3 linked regions of the Tamandua tetradactyla genome follow. The protein of the gene in region 2 purifies or fractionates together with the protein of the main gene of each other region. This does not show direct contact. Links are inferred from orthologs where the notes say so. Each region holds a gene or a part of one and is shown on either strand. Other genes may lie near its edges.

What was found.
Region 1: the proteins of FGF11 (region 2) and UBE2O purify together in Homo sapiens (affinity purification with mass spectrometry; 3 studies listed by BioGRID and IntAct, with this or other methods). This does not show direct contact. The link is inferred for Tamandua tetradactyla from reciprocal best matches to the Homo sapiens genes FGF11 and UBE2O.
Region 3: the proteins of FGF11 (region 2) and AHCYL1 purify together in Homo sapiens (affinity purification with mass spectrometry; 3 studies listed by BioGRID and IntAct, with this or other methods). This does not show direct contact. The link is inferred for Tamandua tetradactyla from reciprocal best matches to the Homo sapiens genes FGF11 and AHCYL1.

What each region holds. Positions count from the first base shown.
Region 1 is NC_135332.1:17,351,394-17,359,010, reverse strand, and holds the start of UBE2O ((E3-independent) E2 ubiquitin-conjugating enzyme), read left to right. Parts: upstream 1-4,560; coding exon 4,561-4,983; intron 4,984-7,617. UniProt on the Homo sapiens protein: E2/E3 hybrid ubiquitin-protein ligase that displays both E2 and E3 ligase activities and mediates monoubiquitination of target proteins. Negatively regulates TRAF6-mediated NF-kappa-B activation independently of its E2 activity.
Region 2 is NC_135332.1:61,286,023-61,293,018, forward strand, and holds the start of FGF11 (fibroblast growth factor 11), read left to right. Parts: upstream 1-3,942; 5' UTR 3,943-5,186; coding exon 5,187-5,379; intron 5,380-6,996. Other genes in the region: TMEM102 (transmembrane protein 102), read left to right, coding at 1,487-1,700, 1,775-3,093.
Region 3 is NC_135337.1:12,940,444-12,947,822, reverse strand, and holds the start of AHCYL1 (S-adenosylhomocysteine hydrolase-like protein 1), read left to right. Parts: upstream 1-4,368; 5' UTR 4,369-4,413; coding exon 4,414-4,533; intron 4,534-7,379. UniProt on the Homo sapiens protein: Multifaceted cellular regulator which coordinates several essential cellular functions including regulation of epithelial HCO3(-) and fluid secretion, mRNA processing and DNA replication.

The sequences.
Region 1 (7,617 bases), about 44 Mb from region 2:
GCTCCAGCAGCAGCCAGCCTGGCTGCGCAAGCAGAGAGAGTGGCTGGGCCCACAACCTGGTCTGAGTGAGGTCACTGAAGAGTGGGGGGAATTTACTGAGGATCCCCCTCCCCACACCTCCAAAATGATTTAGATGCAGCTTGAAGTGGGGGCAGGTGAAGAGTTTAGAGACCAGCAGCAGGAAGGACTAGAAGGTTTCTCTCCCTCCAACCCAAGCTTCAACTGGTTAGGTGTGTGGAGGCAGGGGGCTGCCCACACAGGCACAGAACTCTCAGGGCTCTGAAACCTACCAATGTGCCACATTACTGAGTGTCGATACAGAGCCAGGCACTGTCCTAGGCATCGAGTTTACCCTCCTGAAAATGATTGGTCCATGCGCTCAAAAGGAGCCCATTCCAGTGAGGGAAAGGGCAGCCCTTGAACTCAGGGACTGTCACCTACAACCTGGCAGGCTCCTGGAGGCGGGGATCAGGACGCAGCGTGGCATGGAACTTCATGCAAAGGGGATCATCCCTCCCTCCCTTACAGGGTTGTGTGAGACCAGGTAAGATAATCCATGTCAAGCACTTCTTATAGTACAGGCATAAAGATACAGCTCAATAAATGGTAGCTCTTCTTAGCCATCATTATAAGAAGTCTGTTTTATAGAGCAATTAGGGAGGAAAGGGCATTATTTTTGTTAAAACGATGTTCTAGTTTGCTAGCAGCCAGAATGCAATATACCAGAAACGAATGGCTTTTAAAAAGGGGAATTTAATAAGTTGCTGGTTTACAGTTCTAAGGCCGAGAAAATGTCCCCATTAAAACAAGTCTATAGAAATGTCCAATCAAAGGCACCCAGGGAAAGATACCTTGGTTCAAGAAGGCCAATGAAATTCAAAGTTTGTCTCTCAGATGAGAAGACACATGGCGAACCCAGTCAGGACTTCTCTCTCAGCTGAAAGGGCACATGGTGAACACGGCGTCATCTGCTAGCTTCCTCTCCTTGCTTCCAGTTTCATGAAGCTCCCCAGGAGGTGTTTTCCTTCTTTATCTCCAAAGTTGCTGGCTAGTGGACACTGCTTTGTGGTGCTGCAGCATTCTCTGCTCTCTCCGAATCTCTTATTCTCCAAAACGTTTCCCCTTTAATAGGACTCCAATAAACCAATCAAGACCTACCCAAATGGGTGGAGACATGTCGTCTCCACTCTTGACTAAATCACATCATCCAGGGTGATGATCTGATTACAGTTTCAAACATACAGTATTGAATAGGGATTATTCTACCTTTATGAAATGGGATTTTGATTAAAACATGGCTTTTCTAGGGGGCATTCTTCCTTTCAAACCAGCGCAAACAAACACATTTGGATTTTTGACATAAAGATGCCTGGGGCTGCACTGCCCTGTCCTTCAGCCTATTTGGCACACATGGCACACATGGATACATGAACTCTCTCCTCTGCAGTCAGAAGCTCCTCAGAGGGAAATCTGGAGGAACGGGTAACTGGAAGGGCCCCGGCACTTGAAGTCAAGGGATCTGGGTTCTGATCTTGGCACTGCTTGTGACCTCCGCACTGAATTACTGGGGCTCTCTTCCTCATTGGTAAAATAGGGTTTTTTGCATCTACATGCAAGACGGTGATAAGTATGATAATGTATGTGAAACTGCTTAACACAGTGCCTCGTCAATTACAGGTGCTCAATAAACGTGAGATTATCAGAGGCCGAGGAGACAAAGCTAAAGGGACATGGTAGGTGGAATGGAAACTTCTAGGTTATTGCTGGTAAGCCTCCCAGGTCTTTATGGGGGCAAAAGAGAGAGTGAGGAACAGTGTCCTTGGAGCAGAAATTTCACGCGGTCAATTATGTGATGTGTGGTCTGGAGGGGAAGGCCACAAGCTGAGAATGAGCTGAGAATCCAGCTTTACCCCTAAATATTAGCCTAACTCCCTTTCAGCTCACTTAGCCTCAGTTTTTTCCCTATAACTTTCGTACATGAGTTTTTAAAGATCTGGTCCATTGAAAACCACCCCCAGCCCAATCCATCAATACCCCATAAGTTCTTAATCCAAAACAGCTTACATACACAGTCTGCACGAAGCATACCCATGCCATCTGGGCCTTGGGCATGTTCTTGTAACTTTTCCCAAGTGTAGTTCTGCTCCCCAGCATACTGTAAACTACCCAAAGGGAGGGACCCTACCTTTATGGAGAACCTAAATATTGTAAAATCATACCGTCCTACCAGTCTGTCATTGATGATCTTGCAGAAAAATGTGGAACAAAATGATTTTGACTGTGAGTGGAAAAGTATCTGCAAAAGTGAGTGGAAAAGTATCTGCAAAGCCCCCTTTGGGGAGTGGTGAGAACGGGGAGAAATTCAACTTCCCCAAGTTGAATTCTTGATATTCTCACAAACAGTGTGGACAACTAAAGGTATAGGCAGAGCCCCCAGTCTTGGGGTTTGTTCATATGAAACTTAACCCCGCAAAGGATAGGTCAAGTCTACTTAAAATTTAGGCCTAAGAGTCACCCCCAAGAGAGCCTCTTTTGTTGCTCAGATGTGGCCCCTCTCTCCAGTCAACACAACGAGCAGTCTCACCACCCTACCCCTCTCTACATGGGACATGACTCCCATGGGTGTGGACCTTCCTGGCAACGTGGGACAGAAATCCTAGAATGAGCTGAGACTCAGCATCAAAGGATTGAGAAAAACCCTAGAATGAGCTGAGACTCAGCATCAAGGGATTGAGAAAACCTTCTCAACCAAAAGGGGGAAGAGTGAAATGAGACAAAGTGTCAATGGCTGAGAGATTCCAAACAGAGTCGAGAGGTTATCCTGGAGGTTATTCTTATGCATCAAGTAGGTATCATCTTGTTATTCAAGATGTAATGGAGAGGCTAGAGGGAACTGCCTGAAAATGTAGAGCTGTGTTCCAGTAGCCATGTTTCTTGATGATGATTGTACAATGATATAGCTTTCACAATGTGACTGTGTGATTGTGAAAACCTTGTGTCTGATGCTCCTTTTATCTACCTTGTCAACAGATGAGTAGAACATATGGAATAAAAATAAATAATAGGGGGAACAAATGTTAAAATAAATTTAGTTTGAAATGCTAGTGACCAATGAAAGGGAGGGGTAAGGGGTTTGGTATGTAAAATTTTTTTTTCTGTTTTTGTTTTATTTTTCTGTTTTCTTTTTATGTCTTTTTCTGAATTGATGCAAATGTATGGGAAATGATCGTGATGATGAATATGCAACTATGTGATGATATTGTGAATTGCTGAGTGTATGTGTTGGGAATGTTTGTGCTTCTTGTAATTTTTTTTAATTAATAAAAAATTAAAAAAAAATGATTTTGACTGAGAAAGGTTAGGGCCATATCTTGAGTATAATGTCCTTTTAATAACCCATGAATCTGTCCTCTGAGAATGTATCTAAATCTTTTGTAATTTGCTTAGGTGGCATGTTAAATCAGTATTATAATATATACTATTATATAATATATTTACATTTAAATGGCAATATGGAACAGACCATAAATGTGTCAGTTCTGCCAATATAAAATTTTGGTCTAGGCAGGGTGTTTTGAAACGTAGCAATGGTTTATTGAGCAAGCTACATGCCAGGCACTGTTCTCTCTCATTGAATCCTCCCAATTGACTGATGAGACAATTATTACTATTATCCTCCGTATTTTACAGGCGAGAAAATTAAGGTGAAAAGAAGTTTATCAGCTTGCCTACCTTTATACATTAGTAAGTGGAAATGGGCAGAATTGGAATTTATAGCTTCCACTCTTAACCACCTTGCTATGCTACCTCTTGCCAGGCATGCTATTTTAAGAAGGTTTGAACTCATCTCACTGGGTCTAAAGCCAAACCATAGGGGCCACTGATACTTCTCTTTCTGTCCTTACGCTGGGCCCCTTGACCAACTCTCCAGGACCAGTTCTATCACGGGGTCATGACCTCCCAAGCTTTGCTTGAAATCACCAAATACACACAATACACTCTAGATACACTCTACTTATCTATTATAGCCTTGCTTACAAGCTGTCTTGGGGTTGCTTTTTAGCTATTTAATGTATATTTGTTTTACCTCCCCAACTAGATTGTAAACACCTAGAGGACAGGGACAGTATCTTTCTCTTTATTCTCTCACAGTGCCCAGGACAAGGCTGAAGACGCCAAGGGATCTCATTAAATGTTGTTGACAGACTCCACCGTCCTCCCACCTCGGCCACTCCCCTTTCCCTCAGTGGCCCTCTCCCATTGCTTTTCCCCCTCCGGCCCCGCCCCTCCCTCGTGGATTTCGTCCTTCCTCCTCTGCTTCTCCGCCCCGCCCCCCCTGCCCCGGGCTCCCCGCAGCATCTCCAGCGTCCCCTAGCGACAAGGCGGTCGCTCCTAGCAACCGCATCTCGGTTCCCTGACGACGGCGGCACGTAGGGCCACGTCAGCGCGCTGTGGCCCCGCCCCGGCGCCACTGACCCCGCCCCCTATGCCTCGTTTGCCGCCGCCGCCGCCGCCGCCGCCGCCGCTGCCGCCGCCGCCCGAGACTCGCGCAGAGCAGTTATGGCGGATCCCGCAGCCCCCGCGCCCGCAGCTCCAGCTGCCGCCCAAGTCCCGGCTCCGGCCTCGGACGCGGCTCCGGCCCCGGCCCCGGACGCGGTCCCCGCCCCAGCCCCGGCTCCCGCCCCGGATTCGGCCTCCGGGCGGTCCTCGGACTCCGGCCCCGAAGCCGGCTCGCAGCGCCTGCTGTTCTCTCACGACCTGGTGTCGGGCCGTTACCGCGGATCGGTGCACTTCGGGCTGGTGCGCCTCATCCACGGCGAGGACTCGGACTCGGAGGGCGAGGAGGAGGGCCGCGGGAGCTCGGGGTGTTCCGAGGCCGGCGGCCCGGGCCACGAGGAGGGCCGGGCCAGCCCGCTGCGCCGCGGCTACGTGCGCGTCCAGTGGTACCCGGAGGGCGTCAAGCAGCATGTGAAGGAGACCAAGGTGCGGGCTGGGGGCGACCGGCGGGGAGAGCGAGGCGTGGCCGCCGCGGTGGGGTGCGGGAAGGCAGCACGAAGGGCGCGAGGGTCGCCTCGGGCGGCTGGGAGCGGGGGGCCCCCTGGCTGGAGGTCGCGGGAAGCGGGGAGTCCGCTGCCTGAACCCCAGGCCGTGGCAGGGTAGGTGTGCCAGGCGCCGCCCGGAATGGTGCAGCTGCAGTGGGCCGCGGGGGCAGGACGAACCTCAGCGAAGGGTACGCTCCGGTGCAGTGGGCCCGTGCAAAGTCATTGCACCAGCCCCGGGAGCACGCGCCAGCTGTGCACTGCTGGCCGGGGACGGGCCCTGGGCTTCCCGGCTGGAAGGGGACATTCATACCGTGCCGTGCTGTCTTGGCGGCGGCAGAAGCGGAGACGAGGACGGGCTGCGGCGCGGGGAGCGCCTCAGGCCCTGGGACGCGTTCGGCATTACACCAGTGCGGCGTTTTGTTGACCCCCAAGGAGCTACCTACCGCATTGTGCATCCAAAAGGAAGGCCGTGCGGTGTCGGTGCGGGGAGGGCTTGTGGGCGTTCCAGAGCAGAGATCGAGGGGGAAATCACGGCCGATGGAAAAACCGGAGAAGTTCACTAGGTTACAGAATTCACGGATTCGTTCTGGTGAAGAAATTCAGAGCTGTTTATGGTTGACCTTACTGCCTTATCTAATTGCTGCGGGGAACTTTGGGAGTAAAATCATTAACATTCAGCACCTCGACATTAATAGACTGGGGGAGAATGTGACAGCTTCCACAGGATTGATGACTCCTGAGTACATTTGGACTTCTTGAGAAAAATACTATAGAGAGCCACCAATTGGGAAACCTGGAGGATTTTTCTTGTGTAGGGCTGTTAGGCAAACATCAGATCCCCATATGTTATTGGGGTGAGGGTGGTGCATATAGCAGTTTTACACAGCGAAAGGTTTATCGTCATAAACCTGAAACCTTGAGCCAAGGTTGATTTGGTGGCTTTTCATGTCTTGTTTTTCAGAGAGCGAATTCCTATCAGTGATTCACAGACATACACACACACACCCCCCTCTATCTCATGCCTCTTCTTCCTCGCCTCCTTCCCTTCCCTTCCCTTTCAGGAAGACATTTCTAAGCAGGAATCAGGCCTGGACCATGGCTGCCAAGGATACTGAGAGGTCTGATTTCAGGGCACAGCACTTTAGAAGTTAGTCTGGGTTTCTCACACACTGGGAGACAAAGGAGACGGAGGAACTGGGCATCATGCCACACTACAAAGGGGGTCTGTGACGAAGACTCCTGGTAGGGAGAAAGGCCCCGCTCTGGGGAAGAGCCTGTGATCCATTTCCCGGTGGCAGAAGTGAATGCTGATACCAGCAGGGTCTTTTTCTCTCTAATGCACATGCATCTCCAGACACAAATCCACACCCATGACCCCCGTATCCTCTCTGAAAAATGTAAATCAGGCCATAGCTTCTCAGGTGCAGAAAGGAAATTATAAGCGCAATTACAAAAATATTTGAAAAATAATATTTTTTTCCATAGAATGCTGATTTAAAACTACCACCAGCATTGCTATGTCAGGAGGAAGGGATCGTTGCTTCACACGCTGTGTATTGTCTTACTAGCACACGATTGCTGGTATCTTTCTGTGGATTTAAAGAAAAATGTTTCCTCCAACCATCTTCTGTAGGGGGTTTTGACTTTTGGAATGCAGCTCACTTTGAGTCTTGCTTTCTGTATGTGGTGGCCTCCGGCTCTGGGACTCTGACTGAGGCCACCCCAGCTCGGTGCTGGAAGCTGCTGCGTTTATCAGTTGTCTTTCCTGCCCATCTTGACTTTGGTGGTTAACTTTGTTTACGGCTGTGTTCTGCCTGCCTTCTCCACCATGTGTAATACAGCGTTTGACTTAAAATACTTGTTTTGGAGCTAAGTAGAAAATGACTTGGACGTATTTGAAGCTACCCCCTTTTGACTTTGAGCTTGATGAGATGCATCCTGTGACTTGGGCGGTGATGTTCCTTGGCTGTTGTAGTGTCTGTGCTTCTGTGCTTAGCAAAAGCCAGGGCTCATAGGAATTCCAAGAAAGGGCCGGCCTGCAGTGCCCATTTATGGGTGGTAGAACCCAGTTCTTTTAGGACCTGTGGGTAGGTTTATTTGGGGAAGGGGATGAGGACTTTTATTCTCCCAGATGTTTATACCTGATGAGTGGCTCCCAGCCATCATGACAGATGACCCAGGTCAGCTGAACATTTTTCCTGCTTTGCTTCTGGCCTCTGACTAAGGTAGCAGGGTGGGTCCTGGGATTTTGCAGCACAGTAGCCTAGGGAGGTTTTCCTTCTCACCTCCCACTCCTTGTAAATTCCCTGGAGGTGACAGGGTACATGGTAAAAGAGAGCCCCTTTGACCAAGACTGATCTCTCTGTCGCTTAGCTGGCTGTGAGATTGCAGAACCCAGTTATTGATAGTAATGTAGTGACAGTCCTGGGAAACTTATTTTTTTAAAGCCACCACCTATTGGAATTCTTTTTTAATCATGCCCATTTAATGTGAAATATTTAGTAGGTTATGGTTATTTTTGTAGTTTCATGTTAATTTGGAGGGCAGTGAGTAAAGATTTAATATTGGTTTCTTA
Region 2 (6,996 bases):
ACCTGGGTGCCCTGAACTGAGCTCTGGATTCTAAGAGCCCCCTCCTTTACAGGCCTCTAGTTTGTCTAGGTGTGTCCCTGCTTAATTCTCTCTCCTATGGACTCAGGCCTACCCTAACACTGGAGACAGCCCCTGCACAGAGGGAATGTATGAAGTCTTGGCCCAGCGATGGATTTGTCTGTGAGCTTTCTACCCATTATCCTAATTCCTCGTCCCACCCTGGATTTAGGCTGTGTTCTGGTCCCTGTTAGCATAGATTATTGAAAGCAATTTCCTACCCTTGATAATATTCCAATGCCTTGCTCCAGCCCCAAGTTTCCTCTGGACTTGATCTTCAGTCTTGATACCCTCTTCTCTGTGTATACATAAGCTGTGTGGTTCAAAACTGCTCCTCTGCCATCTCTCTTGAATGTCTGAGGTGGGCATCACTGCTCCCTAATATGTGTCTCTCTTCCCTGGGCCACATGACCTTCTTGAGTCACTTCCTAAGTGTTCCTGCCTAAGAGTGCCACCACTGATCTCAAAGATGCCTGCCCACCCAGCTGGGGAATCCCTTCCAACACCTTCCTGGCTCACCTCTGTGACCTTGGACAAATCATGTGCAAACTTTCTAAGCTGAGGTTTCCTTATCTCCAAAATACATAGAAGAGCCCTTCCAGCTCTAAGTGACCAAAGTTCTTCTACTCACATATGGAATCCAAGGGCCCCCTTTTCTCCCCAGGCCCTAGGGTATTTGCTATCCAGGTCCATCCTATTACACCTCTTCCCCTACTCCAGGGGTGGGGTGGATCGGCCCTTGGAAAAAAGCAGAGCAGTCTGTCTCCACAGAAACTACAACTTCCATCAGGCACTGCTTCAGCAGAACAGGAAAGGATGTGGGGGCGGACTCCAGTGTCCTAGGAGCTCCGGAGACAAACTACAACTCCCAGGAAAGAGTGAAACCTCAGCTGCTCAAACGAGGGAAAAGCACTCTGACCCGAGCCGGGGCCTGGCGGGAACCTTCCCGGAAAGCCTCCCCCCGAAAGGGCGTGGTCGTACCTGTGGGCGGGGCCATGGGAGCAAGAGGAAGAAGTTACCTGTTGGATTGTTCTATCCACCTTCTTCCCCACTCTACCCCTAAGAGGGAAGCCGCAGATCATAAGCCTCTCCCGAAAAGAGGTAAAGGGACGTAGCCAAAGGAAATCGTGGGGTCGCGGCAGAGACTGGCTATTGCATCCTGTAGGAGGGACCCAACAGCCACTTTCTACCTGCTCAGTCAGGTGAACCGGCCCTTAGGGGCGGGGAGCTGCGTGAAGGAAGGGCAAAGACGGAGGAGGTATTTATTTGTTCGTTTTGAAGACTATATTTGGAGCCCCAGTTGCAGTTGGGTCTGGGGCCCTCGCTCAATCTCGGGAAGAAGGAAGAACACAGGCGACTTCTCCGCAACAGAGCAAAGGCGGGTCTGGGCTGCCGTGTTTTCCTTAGCCAAAAAAAACGTTAGAGCTCCATGACTTCCGCGGTCTGGGGGGGTGCCGCCTGGTGGGGCCCACCGCCCCCGGCGCCAGCCCGGCCGCTCACCGACATCGACTTCTGCTCCGGGGCGCAGCTTCAGGAACTGACCCAACTGATTCAGGAGCTGGGGGTGCAGGAAAGCTGGAATAACGGGCCCAAGCCGGGGCCAGACCTCCTCCGGGCCAAGGACTTTGTCTTCTCTTTGCTTGGTAAGTAACACTCCTAGCCTCCGTACCCGCCCCGGCTTTGGGCCACGCCCCCACGATCCCTTCTCTTCCCTTAGGCCTCGTTCACCGCCGGGACCCCCGCTTTCCTCCCTTGGCAGAGCTCTTGCTACTTCACGGCGGGATTCGCGAGGGCTCCCTTGATCTGGGACCTGCACCTCTGGGTCCCTATGCCCGGGGACCTCACTACGACGCCGGCTTCACGCTTCTGGTGCCGGTATTTTTGCTGGACGGCACTGGGCCCGAGCTGCAACTGGATCTGGAATCCTGTTACGCACGGCTCCGCCTCCCCGAGTTGAAGCGCGGATCCTCAATCCGGGAAGCGTGGCAGGATTGCCTGGAACCTACGATTCCAGAAGGACGTGATTGGATCCCTCAAACCGAGAAAGAAGGAAGTTCCAAGGATCGGGAAAGCTCCGCGGACCAGCCGCACAGTAACCTCACTGTGCCTGAGCCTCACGTGTCTTTGGAAGAATCACCTAGTGACGTTCCAAAGCCGGAGGTTCCTCAGAGTGACATCATCGATCTTGATTCTCCCACATCTTTGAAGAAACTATGTGCTGACGTCACCAAGCTAGCTGTCGAATGTCGAGTCCCACAGCTGTCCGAGGAATGGGAGGCGTGGCCTACATTGTCCCCCGCCCAAGTTGCTGCCTGGTTCTTTGCTTCTCTGGCCGCGGTCGCCGAGACCCTGATTCCAATCCCAGGCTCTCCGCGCCTGGTGCACGCAGCCCGCCACGCGGGATTCACTACCATCCTCCTGGCCACTCCCGGTCCCCCGCGCCGCCTACTGCTCTTCGACCTGGTCCCCGTGGTGTCTGTGGCCGGCTGGCCCGAGGGGGCTCGGAACCACTCGTGGGCAGGCCCGCTGGCCTCCGGGCCCTCCTCCTTCTACCTGGTGCCCGGCGGCGTCACAGAGCGATTGGGCGCCTCTGGCTGGCAGCTCTGCTTCGCTCGCCAGGAGCTGGCGCTCAAGGCGCGCATACCGGCTCCGCTGCTGCAGGCGCACGCGGCGGCCCAGGCGCTGCTGCGCCCGCTGGTGGCCGGGACCCGGGCGGCGGTGCCCTACCTGCTGCGGATGCTGCTCTACTGGGCGTGCGAGCGGCTGCCCGCGCTCTACCTGGCGCGACCTGAGAACGCCGGCGCCTGCTGCCTGGGGCTGCTGGACGAGCTGAGCCGCGTGCTCGAAGCCGGGGCCTTGCCCCACTATTTTCTGAATGGCCGAAAGCTCCTGGCGGGGGACTTCGCTGCCGGGCTGCTACCGGAGTTGGCCCGACTCCGCGGGGACCCTGCTGGGGCTCTGCGGGCCGCGGTGGAGGAGGCCAAGGCTGCACGCAAGGGGGGCGGCTTGGCGGGCGTGGGGGGCGGGACCCATTAAAGAGTCAGCTCCTGTCAGCATGGAAAGTGCTTCTTCTGGGAAGTGGAATGCTGAGGGCTCTGGCCAGGCGCCTCTCCCGGGAGAAAGACTGAAGACCCCATTCTACAAGTCCTCGTGGTCGGTTCCTCCCAATATCCCCGCCCCCAGTCATTCATTCCGGCCTTTCCGCTCTCCAAATATGACGCCAGCTCCTCTTCGGCTCCAGTGCAGGCCCCCGCAATCTTCTTTCCCCAATAATTCCGGACTTTTCTCTTAGAAGTCAGTAGAGAAGGGGGAAATATATTTGCTGACAAAACGCGGAAAGGCGAGGTTTGGAGACTGGAAATTAACCGGTTTGATTCACACACCAGCGGGCATTTTAAAGAGGCCAGACTGCACCCCAGACTCGATCTCACTACTAACACCATCTCTCCAGTTATCCCCTTCTCCTCAACCAGTCCAGCCCTCACTCCATCCTGGGCAGCAGGGATCCCTCCTTTCTGTTCTTGAGGCGTCAACCATTCTGTCTTAAGCCCAACCATTCCCCCACCCACCCTCAACCAGTCCAGCCCTCACTCCATCCTGGGCAGCAGGGATCCCTCCTTTCTGTTCTTGAGGCGTCAACCATTCTGTCTTAAGCCCAACCATTCCCCCACCCAGAGTTTCGTTCATGGAATCGCCTCCCTATTCCTCCTCCTCCCAGCCGCCGCTCCGTCCTCACGTCCCGCCTCCAAGGAACCCCGGGGTTCCGCCGGCCCAGCTTCTCCCCCACCCCCACATTCCCGGCGTCTCCGCCCCCTGCCCCGCCCCCGGGAGGAGGGGGAGTTGCTGTCGCCGCCGCTGCCTCGGCTTTCCACTGCTGCTGCCGCTGCCGCTGCCGCCGCTGCGCCGGGTCCAGCCGCCAGGCCCAGGGCTCTGACTTCGCCGGACCAGGGTGCTTTGCCGAGACGCCCTCTCCTTCTTGGGGGTCCGGGGCATCCAGCCGGGTGCCGGGGAAAAGCCTGGCTTGCGGGGGACGGGGAGGGAGGAGCCTGGAGCCGGAGCCAGCGCCACCCGTCTCCGGATCAACAGGACAGGACAGGTTGAGGGGCGTCGGGAAGGAAGAGGCGATATCGGGGAGGAAGCCGAATCGGAGGAAGCGCAGAGTGATTGCTCTCACTAGGAGGGGGCCTGTTCACATCTGGGGACTGGTGACAACGTGGGTGCACTCCGCTCTGGGATGGGGGGTGGGGGTGGCTGGGTTGGAGGCTGTGGGAGCTAAACAGCACCAGCTGTCCCCGAGGAAATTTAAGGGGCAGGCAGAAAAAAAGGGACCCTCCTTATTCGAGGTGATAGAGGGTCCTGTGGAAAACCACCTGGTGTTTCCGTTAGGAAGGGTGGTTTTGGAGGTGACTTGGAAAGGAGTGGAGGGTGACAAGGTGAGAAAAGGGCTCATTAGCTGGAACCCTGGCCCACTAAAAGTGGGGGTAATGGTGAAAAAAGGTACCGTCTAGCGAGAAGGCCTGGAAACTTCTCACGCATCAGAACGGCCTGGCAATTCTAAGACATAGGTTTTGGGGATTTCAGCGAAAAAAGTGGGGGATCCTCTCCATTTAGAGGGTGGCAAAAGAAAAGAAAACCAAGGTTGGATTCCTTCCTGACACTGGACAGCTCCCCAGAAGGAGGTGAGGCAACCTAATATCCCTAAAGCTAAGAATCCACACTCTTTAGATTCCAGGAGTGGATTTGGTAGGGGAGCAGAGCCCCGAAATAGGGTGGAGAGCTGCCTGGGGCTATTGGAACCAAATCTTGGAAATTTTGGGGGTCTTGGTTTTGGGAGAGGGGAATCAGGGACAGCCACACTGGAGAACAGGGAAGGGAGAATTTTCAGTAGGTGGCAAAATTCGAGGCTGGGGTCAACTGAGGGGGGAGCAGGCTGCTGGGTCAGGAGGCGCCAGCCGGGCCCAAGGATTGGAGCTGGCAACTGTGGGGGTCTTAGCCTCAGGTCCTGTGGGTGGGACGGTGAGTCTGGGGGCCCGAGCAGCAAGAGCATGCCCTAGTGAGAGGGCTTCTCTGGGGGAGCCCCTTGCCCTCCTGGCGCCTGCCGGTTTGGGGGTATCTCCTCCCGGGGCGCCATGGCGGCGCTGGCCAGTAGCCTGATCCGGCAGAAGCGGGAGGTCCGCGAGCCTGGAGGCAGCCGGCCCGTGTCGGCACAGCGGCGTGTGTGTCCCCGCGGCACCAAGTCCCTTTGCCAGAAGCAGCTTCTCATCCTGCTGTCCAAGGTGCGACTATGCGGGGGGCGGCCCTCGCGGCCAGACCGCGGCCCAGGTGAGTGCGGCTGGGGCTGGGTCTCTCGGCCAGGGGGTCTCTGTCCAGGGGCTGAGACCAGGGACTCTGTCTGAAGAGTGGGACCCAGCTGTAGGGGACTCCCGGAGAGTGGGTGGGCCTGGGCGACAAAGTCCCAGCCTATCAGACTATGCCTCAGTTTCCTTTCTTATTTCCCGTAACCCAGACTCTCCTCCCTTTCGAGTAAGGGGAGAGCTTGAGGGGCTTAGTCTAGCGCCCCGAAGTTTCGCAACCCCTGCCCCCACCCCCCACCCCCGATATGGAATCCCCACCCCCACCATCCTCCGCCTACGTGCCGACTCTCGCGATCCTTTCAATCCCGAGCGGAGGGGGCTGGGGGCTCTGTACGCCTGGGTCACCCCGAGGATTTCTGCGGCTCCGGCCGCCCCGCCCCCGCCGCGGTTCTCCCGCCCTCCACGCCTTGGCTTGATTCCTCCCGGTCGAGTTCGCCTGGCTCAGGGCCAATCTCCCCAGCTCTCCCCCGGGTGTCCTTGCAGCTATTTCGCCAGACCGCCCCTCTGTGCGCCCTCCTCCCAAGACCAGCGTTTCTAGAAGGGAGCTGGGGACCCCCCCCCCATTACCCCCCATTCCTCCTCGCGAGACTCCGAAATCGGGTCCTACTGGCTCAGAGGACCCTCTGCCCGGAGGAACTCAGGCACATTAACGGGGCTGGAGGGGGCATGGAGACTGGGGGGTCGTACCACCTACAAAGCGGGGGACAGGGGAGTCTCGGAGAGCAAGCGACCAGAAAGAGTTGTCAGTATCAGCATGTGATCCCCGTCCAGGTACGACAGGCAGGGAGTCCCTTTGGCCCCACTCCCGCCGGCTCTCAGCTCCCCTGGGGGTGGCCCCCTCGAGCCCCCCCCCCCCCCGCCCTCCGCCCACCCTCCGTCAGCGGCCTTCAGCAGTGGTATGGTCCGTAGCCCACCCTCTGAGAGGGGACCCGGCCCCCACGTGACTCAGCCTGCCTCTCTATCTCCCTGGTCCCCCTCCCCCATCTCTTTGATATGGTACTGAATGCCCCCGCCCCACCCCAGGCGGGTTACCTGGATGAAGGGGAGAGGCTGAGCCTCAGAGAGGGCTGCCCCCCCCTCCCCCCCCCCCCCCCCCCCCCCCCCCCCCCGCGAGCCAGCAGACTGACAAACAGACAGACAGCCAGATGGACCAGTGTCAGACAGTCCGGCTCTGGGCCAGGCCCAGGCCTGAGCCAAGCGGGCAGCAATGCAGCAGCAGGTGCTGAGTCAGCACTGGGCTCTGTACCACCCCCACTCCTTTGGGGGAGCCCCTACCCTGTGGCCACCTTATGGCCCTCCCACCCACCCACACGCATTGGCAAATACATGCCCCTTCAGCAGCTCTGCCTGTCTCTTTCTCTCCTCTGCCTTTTGATATATCTCTTTTCCTTCTCCCTCCTTCCCTTCCCCCCCTTCTGATTGCGCTGTGGAGTAGGAATTAAACCATTTAAATAAATTTCAATAAATTAAACTGAAAGCTTATAGTTAGAGGAAGCAGAAGGGACTCACACTGAGCTTTCTCTGAAGCCAAAGAGGGTAAGAGAGCTGGGGCTCTGGGATCCCCTTCCTTTTCTCCATTCTCCTT
Region 3 (7,379 bases), on a different chromosome or scaffold from region 2:
GAATAGAAGGAAATTCAAAATAATTACAATAATGTGATTAAAAACAAGCAGAGGAGGAGACAGAGTCTTTCCCAGTCTCAGGGGACTGCCCATTTTCTCCCAAGGGCTGGAACAACAGAGAAGGGAGGGGAAGGAGCTCAGTGGCAAGGAGGAATCCAGCCTGTCTGGGGAGTGAGTGCCCAGAGCTGGGCCTGGCAGCCCTCCCCAGGGCTTTCCTTCGAGCCAGAGGGGCAGATTACCAATTTGGAGTTGCGTTCCAGGGGCACGCCTCACGTTGATGACAATGTCAGTGATGCCTCCCAGATTTGTGCAACTTGGCAGTGGTGGGGCAGAGAGAAGCCTGGGATGTAGAGGGGGACACGCCCACCCCAGAGTTCTGGAGGCAGCGCTGTGGGGCCATTCGCCCGTGTCCATGCTGCCGCGGTCACCCACGACCTCCTGCAGTGTGTCCGCACTGTTCATCTGGTAGCTGACGAGGGCCTGGCCTGGAGGAGGGGAAGGGCCCACAGGAGAGCGAAGCCCCTCTCTGGTAGGGTGTCAGGCTGGCAGGGAGCAGACGGCTGTGAAAGGCAAAAACCTGGGCTCCCTGGGACTCCGAGACGGTGCCCCCACCCCCAGCCCCCGCAGAGGTATCAAACTCCACTCAAGCTGGCTCCTTATCGCAGTGGTCCCTTCGCCCAGATCTGCTTCTCCTCCAAACACAGCGGACGGCACCCCCGTGCACCCACAGCTCACCGGGCCCTGTGTGAGCTGACCTCGGCTTCATCGCTCCCTCTGCCCCACTTTGCACTCTGGGCCCCACCTGCACTGAAACACATACCAAGTTCCCAGATCATGGCAAGACGTTTCAATAGCCCTGCCTTTTCTCCTGCTGATCGTTCACCCTGGCAATCCCCCCTACCTTGTCCAGCTGCTTAGCTTTCAAGCGTCAGCTCAGACAGCATCTCCCTCTATGAAGTCCCCCTCCCAACTCCAGGTAGAGATCAAGCCTTCGTCGCATTTTTCTCTGTTAAGTCCCAACATTGAGTGCTGCTCCTGAAACATCTTCAGCAGTCAATATATATTTTACGAATAAACGAACAAATAAGTGAATGTGGAGGGTAAATGCGAAGGAGGACAGAAGAGTGAAATGGATCACATATACCAAGCTCACCTGCGGGGCCGCAGGGCCACTACATTTCTGGTGGCAGCATCTCCCACCCCCTCCTCCCACCCCTGTCCAGAACAGGGTCCCCTTTGGTGTCCAGGCCCTTTGGAGACTTCCTCACCACACCACACACACCAGGTGTACCTGTCCTTGGGTCTCTGCTTTTCTGGCCCCTGGACAGCTCTATCAGCTGAGTGGGACTGAGCTGTTCAGAAGGGTGGGCCTGCTTGCAGAGACTCTGAGTGAGGTGGGCAGATGGACAGAAGACCACTCATTCCTTGACATCCATGTGAGGCGACCCCCCCCTTAGCTGGGCTGCGTGGAACCATTTTCGGAGTGGTGGGGGTAGCACGCTATGGCCTTCATCAATGTGATGTCGCTGCACTCCTCGGCTGGGTGGGCTCTTTGATCTCTGGCCCACACATGGGGAGTGGGGAGGGGAGGACAGGCAGCCACCCATGTCCTCAGCAACAGGTAGGTTGCCAAGAACGCCTCTGGGTCCTGGCCTGCCATGAACCGTACAGGCCTGCTACCCTTCCACCAGGGCAGGGAGGGCTGCCCCTCCCGCCTTTCAGCCTAAGTACCCCCAGCTCCCTTAGATCAGCCTCACCCACCAAGCCTCTCCTCGGGCCCAGTCTCAGGTGAGTGGAGAATGACATGCTGCTAGCTTCTTGGCCCCAGCTGCTCAGGCATGGCCTCCTCTGGTCCTGGCCCAAGGCTCCACCCTCCTCAGCGGCAGCAGTGGTGCAGACAACGCTGGGAGACCGGTGTGAGGGGAAGCCTGTTACTTTGGTCTAGGAGGAGGCAAAGAAAGGTTGAATCTCACCACCTGACTGCCATGATGCATAGCTGAACTGGGGAACTGAAAGATGAAGCTTTTGGATAATGGAAGTTTTCAAAATCAAATCCAAAAGATAGACACATCTATGCTTTTTAATTTAATAATTTAATTTGAATAAGCTATCCTAAGTTGCGTGTCTTTCTATTCGAGGGACTTGGAATTTTCATCCCTGGTTCTAACTGGCTCTGCCTCTGTTCTTTAAGCGGGCATCTCTGATCCCTGGGCTCTGATAACAATTCAGGCAAATCCACAGCTTGAAAGCTACTGCGGGCCTTAAAGAGTTGTGGGTGAGGCTGGTGTGATTCTTGGCTCTACCTGGGAGATGAGGAGAAAAATGACAGTCTGGCATGCTTATGGATGAATCTGACATTCTGGTCCTCTGTCTCTAAGCCCTTCTGCTAGAAAAATGCCCCTGAAAGGGGTGTCTGGGTGCTCTGAAGGCTGGGCCAATGAGAGAAGCATGTAAGAGAATCTATCTAAAAGCTCAAAACCGGGATCTGCAGAAGTCTGCCTTCTTCTAGGCACTTCCACAGCCCACTTCAAACAAAGAGCCTCATCAAGCTGGATGGTTAGAATGTGGGCTTCTCCGACTAAGACTTCAGGGCACCCAGTGGAGAGTATTGCACACACCAGTGGAAAAAATGTTATTTCAAACCATAACTTCTTTCTTGGAATTATTGATCCTGTTAAAGGCTCGGTGGGTTTCTGGAAATAAAAAGGTGGATTCAGAGAGGAATTTAGGGGAAAGGCACCAGAAGACTCACATTGCTCAGCATAGTTGAGAAAAATCGGGTTTCCCAGAGTCAATCAGAAAAGAAAGGGTGAGATAGAGGGATGGGGGGGAGTAAACAGGAGGGAGTTAAATTAGATGGCAATGGCTACGGAACTTTGCAGAATAGTGTGGCCAGTGAGAAATCCCGGGTGTCAAAATAGCCAAAATAACTTCTCAGGACATTTCAGAAATGTGATTTTAAATTGTTGACTGTGTGATGTAACCTCTCCCCTGTGACCCACAAACCTTTGCTAAAAATTCTGTTACATGTTACAACTTTATTTTTGTGTCTGCTTTGGGATAGGGGTGGGGGTTGAAAGGAACAAAAGCTGTGTTCTATATCTGAATTGACAGCAAGAGTCAAAGAAGCAGTCACATGATCAGGATAATGAATAAAACTTCAGAGAAGACAGAAAACTGGAGCCAGACTTGACCATGAAAATGTAAGTTCCCCCAGTAATTCACAAAAATTTCAGGGAGGACATTGGACTTTCCACAGTAGCCAATGTAGTTTGAATCTCAAAGGACAAGCTACCTTAGCTGACATGTCAGATCCATTCAGGCTCTGTCTATCCCTCTAGACTGAGCCTTGCAAAACATAAAATGTCACACTCATCTTTGCATTCCAGGGCCTTGGCACAGGATAAGGCCCAGTAAAAATGTGCAAATGGCACACGTGTGCCCTGGGCGCCCACCGAGAGCTAGCAGAGCCTAATGCTTGGTGAACACCGAGGAGGAAAACATTCAGGCCAGGGACCCTCTGCGGACCCATCAGCTGATATTCTAATGGCCACTTCAGCGAAATCACCTCTGTGGCCTGGAGATCGCGTAAACAGGTAAGACCCAGGCGGACAATGGTGGAAGAGGTCAGAAAGGACAGTACACAAATCAGACTGTCCAAAGTTTCTTATGACCAATCCCTATGGGGTGATGGAAGGAGCCATCACCGCCCTTGGAGAGGGTAATTCTGGTCCAAAAGAAACTGGGCAGAGTAGGCTGTCCCGCGCCCCAGATTATTCCTAGGAATGGCCGTAGAATGTGTCTTTTGGGGTTCATGCCTTTTCTGCTAGGTATCCCTCCTACTCCTCTCAGAGACGTCGCCCGGAATCCTGCAGCCCAGAGACCCTCCACCCCACGTCACCCTTGCAAGAATTACACGTCGCTCGCAGGGCTGATGGCGCCATCTGGCGGCGCAAAGGGTCCTGCTCACCCTGGTACACCTAAGAGCCCCACCGAGGAGGGAAGGCTTCGGCATCCAAATCCAGCGTGATGACGTCACGACAGCGCGCCCTTTCTCCCCGCCTCTTCCCCCTCCCCGGAGCTGCCAGTACTTGTCGTGGCGTCACCGCCCTCTGCCCTTACTTTGCGTGCGTGTCTGCGTGTGTCGGAGGTGGCGGCGCGGGCCGATCGGAGCTTCGCGCGGCTGCTTGTGGTGTTCCTTCTGCCGCCGTCGCTGTCGCGCTCTGTTAGACTGCCCGGCGGACGAGGCGCTGGCCAAAGCACCTCAGAACCGAACGCAGCCCGGCGTGGGACCGGGTGGGAGGGTGGGCGAGCGCGTGTCGGAGGGCGCAGTGCGGGCGGCCGGGCGGGCGGGCGCCCGCGGAGGAAGGAGGCGGGGGCGGTGGGTCAGCCACGGGCCGGGCCGGCCGGGGGATGTCGATGCCTGACGCGATGCCGCTGCCCGGAGTCGGGGAGGAGCTGAAGCAGGCCAAGGAGATCGAGGACGCCGAGAAGTACTCCTTCATGGCCACCGTCACCAAGGCGCCCAAGAAGGTGCGGGGGCTCTGGGTGCAAGCGGGGACCTGGGCCTCGCGGAAGGGGCGCGAGCGAGTGCCAGCCCGGGCTCCGGCTAGTTCGGGACTTTAGGGGAGAGGGTTCCGGGTGATCGCGGACAGCTGAGGTTGTGTGGGAGGTAGCGGTGAGCGGCCCCAGGCCCATCCCGGGCTGGAAAGGCCGCCCCTGACTTCGTTTTCCTTTGTTCCTCGGCCGTAGTCCTCCGAGATCTTTTTGAGACCCGACAGGACCGGGTCTTAAATTTGCGGCTGACTTTTCCAGGACGAAAGGCCTCGAAGACAGGTGTGGGAGGGAGTGAATCAATTCAGCTGGCCCTTCTGACCAGGCCGAGGGAGGGGGTTGAGGGGGGTGCAGAAAATCCCCCTTCAGGTGAGTGTGTAAATCTGGCAGCACTTCTTTGGGTGAATCTTAGGGATCAGGGTCCGATTTATCCAGCAACTGCGTGATAACAAGAGAAAAGAATGCGTGGACCCAGCTCTTTTTATGCAGATAAAGGCAATGAGGGCGGTGTGAGATTGAAAAGAAAACTCTAATTTTCACCTTCGGCGGTCTTCCAGTTGCTTCAACAGCTGTAAGAAATTAGCATTTGGAGGTTAGTGACAGCAGACACTGTCATGGATGCAGGTTGATCCAGGAGTCATGTGAATAGACCACTTAGGCATCCCTTGAAAAAGGAGCTTGGGTGGGTTGGAGGGGTGGGTGGTAGGGAAGGATTGCTCATTCTTTACTGCACTTATTAAGGCAGAACAAGTTTAGTCTATTGTACCGTGGGTTGAGCTCAAAGGACACTCTTATTCTATTGTTGTGGAAGACTACATGGGAACGTTTGGAGGTTGTAGTCTAAATAGCGCTTTGAATGATAGAATTGGGATCCCCAGAGCTTTCTGATCATTTGCTGACAACTTCATCTTGACTTTACTCATGCCCATCACCTGGTTAACAGTCGATCAGAGAACCTTTGCAAAGAGGTGACCTTTCTGAAGCCAGTGAGAACCCGGATAAATATTTCAGTCTAGTATAAAGAGAGTGTTTCAAGGCTATCTCTGCCTGCAGTGTTTGATAGAAAGCAGTGCTCAAGTTTTGCAGGAATAGTTACAGTTCTTAAGGCTCCTACACCTGAACTAGTTAAACTACCTTGAGTTGGAAACATGGCTTTAAAAAAAAAGAAAGAAATTTAATCTACTACTCCAGAAAGCAAATGCAAAATTGAAAAGACAAGTCACCATAGTGCACTTTATCTTTGTTTTCTCTAAAACTTGAAATCTTAACAACAGAATGTCTTTAAAATATTGAAGATCCCTTGACTTTAAGGAGTAATTAACCTTATTTTTAGAGCTCTCAGTTCAGCAGATTACTTTGTTGGGGCTGTATTTGTATTCTGCACTGTTCTTTGAAGAAACAGTCACAGCTCTTTCAAGCAAAATTCTTGTGAGTAGTACCTTAGGTGAGTTAGGGGGAAAATGAGAAAATGCTTAATTCCCTGAACTCTTCCCCCCCACACACCCCCCATTTTCTAGTCATTTCAGGGTTTGGGGTGTCTTTATTCTTACCTTTTTTAGTAAACCTTTATTCTTACTTGTCAGTGCCACTGTTGATAAGACAAAGTTTGCATTATGGATTGTAAACTTTCATAAAGACAAGGACTCTCATTCACCATTGAATCCATTGTGCTCAGTACTGTATCTAGCTTATAGGAAGTACTCAATTATTAATTGCCCGCTTGGCTAACTATTAACTGAGATGTCAGTAGGGTTGTCTATTCCTCCTCTCTTCCCAGGAGGAATATTACTAATGTGTATTTTTGTCAGGCCAAGTGCTAATGATTAGAGACTCGTATTCCGTTAGTTGAAAGAAGCAGTCTCTGCCGGGGATGTGATAAGACCCTGCTGTGAGTTACCATTTGCTGGTAAATGTGCCCCTGTGTTTTTAGTTTTACTTTTTCTGAGCTTTATTGTTTAGCATTTACACAGCACTTTGTAGTAAAGTGCTTTATAATGACTAATTACTCTTTCTCTGGTGATGATGAAATCCATTTATTTAGTTAATGGGTCAGTTGAGTACTAGTTCAAGGTCACATAGCAAGTCCTTGGTAATTTGTTTTTCAGAATTTCAGCTGAGTTGGACATTATGATTCAGGTAACTTGTCTACTTCTGCTGTGTGTTGATGATGTGAGAAAGCATGGGAAAAATAAAAGGAAAAAAAGTAACCTGGCCAGGTACTGAATGGTATGAGAAAAGGGCCTCTCACCTGTGAGGATTGCAGTTTGACTTTAGACCAAGTAATTCTTGAATAATTCCAGACCCTGAGGCCATTCAGGAAATGAGGTCATTGCTGGGGCCAGTGAGAGGGTACAGGTTACTTGAGGGTGACCTTGATGGTCCTTAATCAGGTCATATCTCAGAGGAGCTTTCTTGTTAATTCACCTTGTCTGCCTTCATTTAGGTAGAGTGAATATCCTGCAATTAAAAGCATTGATAGCTGGATTCTTTTGCTATAATCATGATTTGCTCAGTTTTATATGCCCCTGGGGTCTAGTACAGTGCTGTTGAGGTAACAGGGCTTGTTGGTTTGATTCAAGGATCCATCTAGCTGTCAAGAAGCCAACTAAGTAGGTTCCTAAGTAAATTAGTTTCTGTGCCGCAGTTTCCTTATCTGACAAATAAGTTGTTATTTGAAATAGGTAGAGATAGGAACATGTTGGGAGCTAAATAGCAAGTGTGCCTTTAAAAAAAAGTCTGTTTATATCTGGTATATTTTCCTGTTTTTAAGAGCATCTGAGATGGCTTAGAGTACAGAAGGTATAGACAATATAAATAGGAAGGAA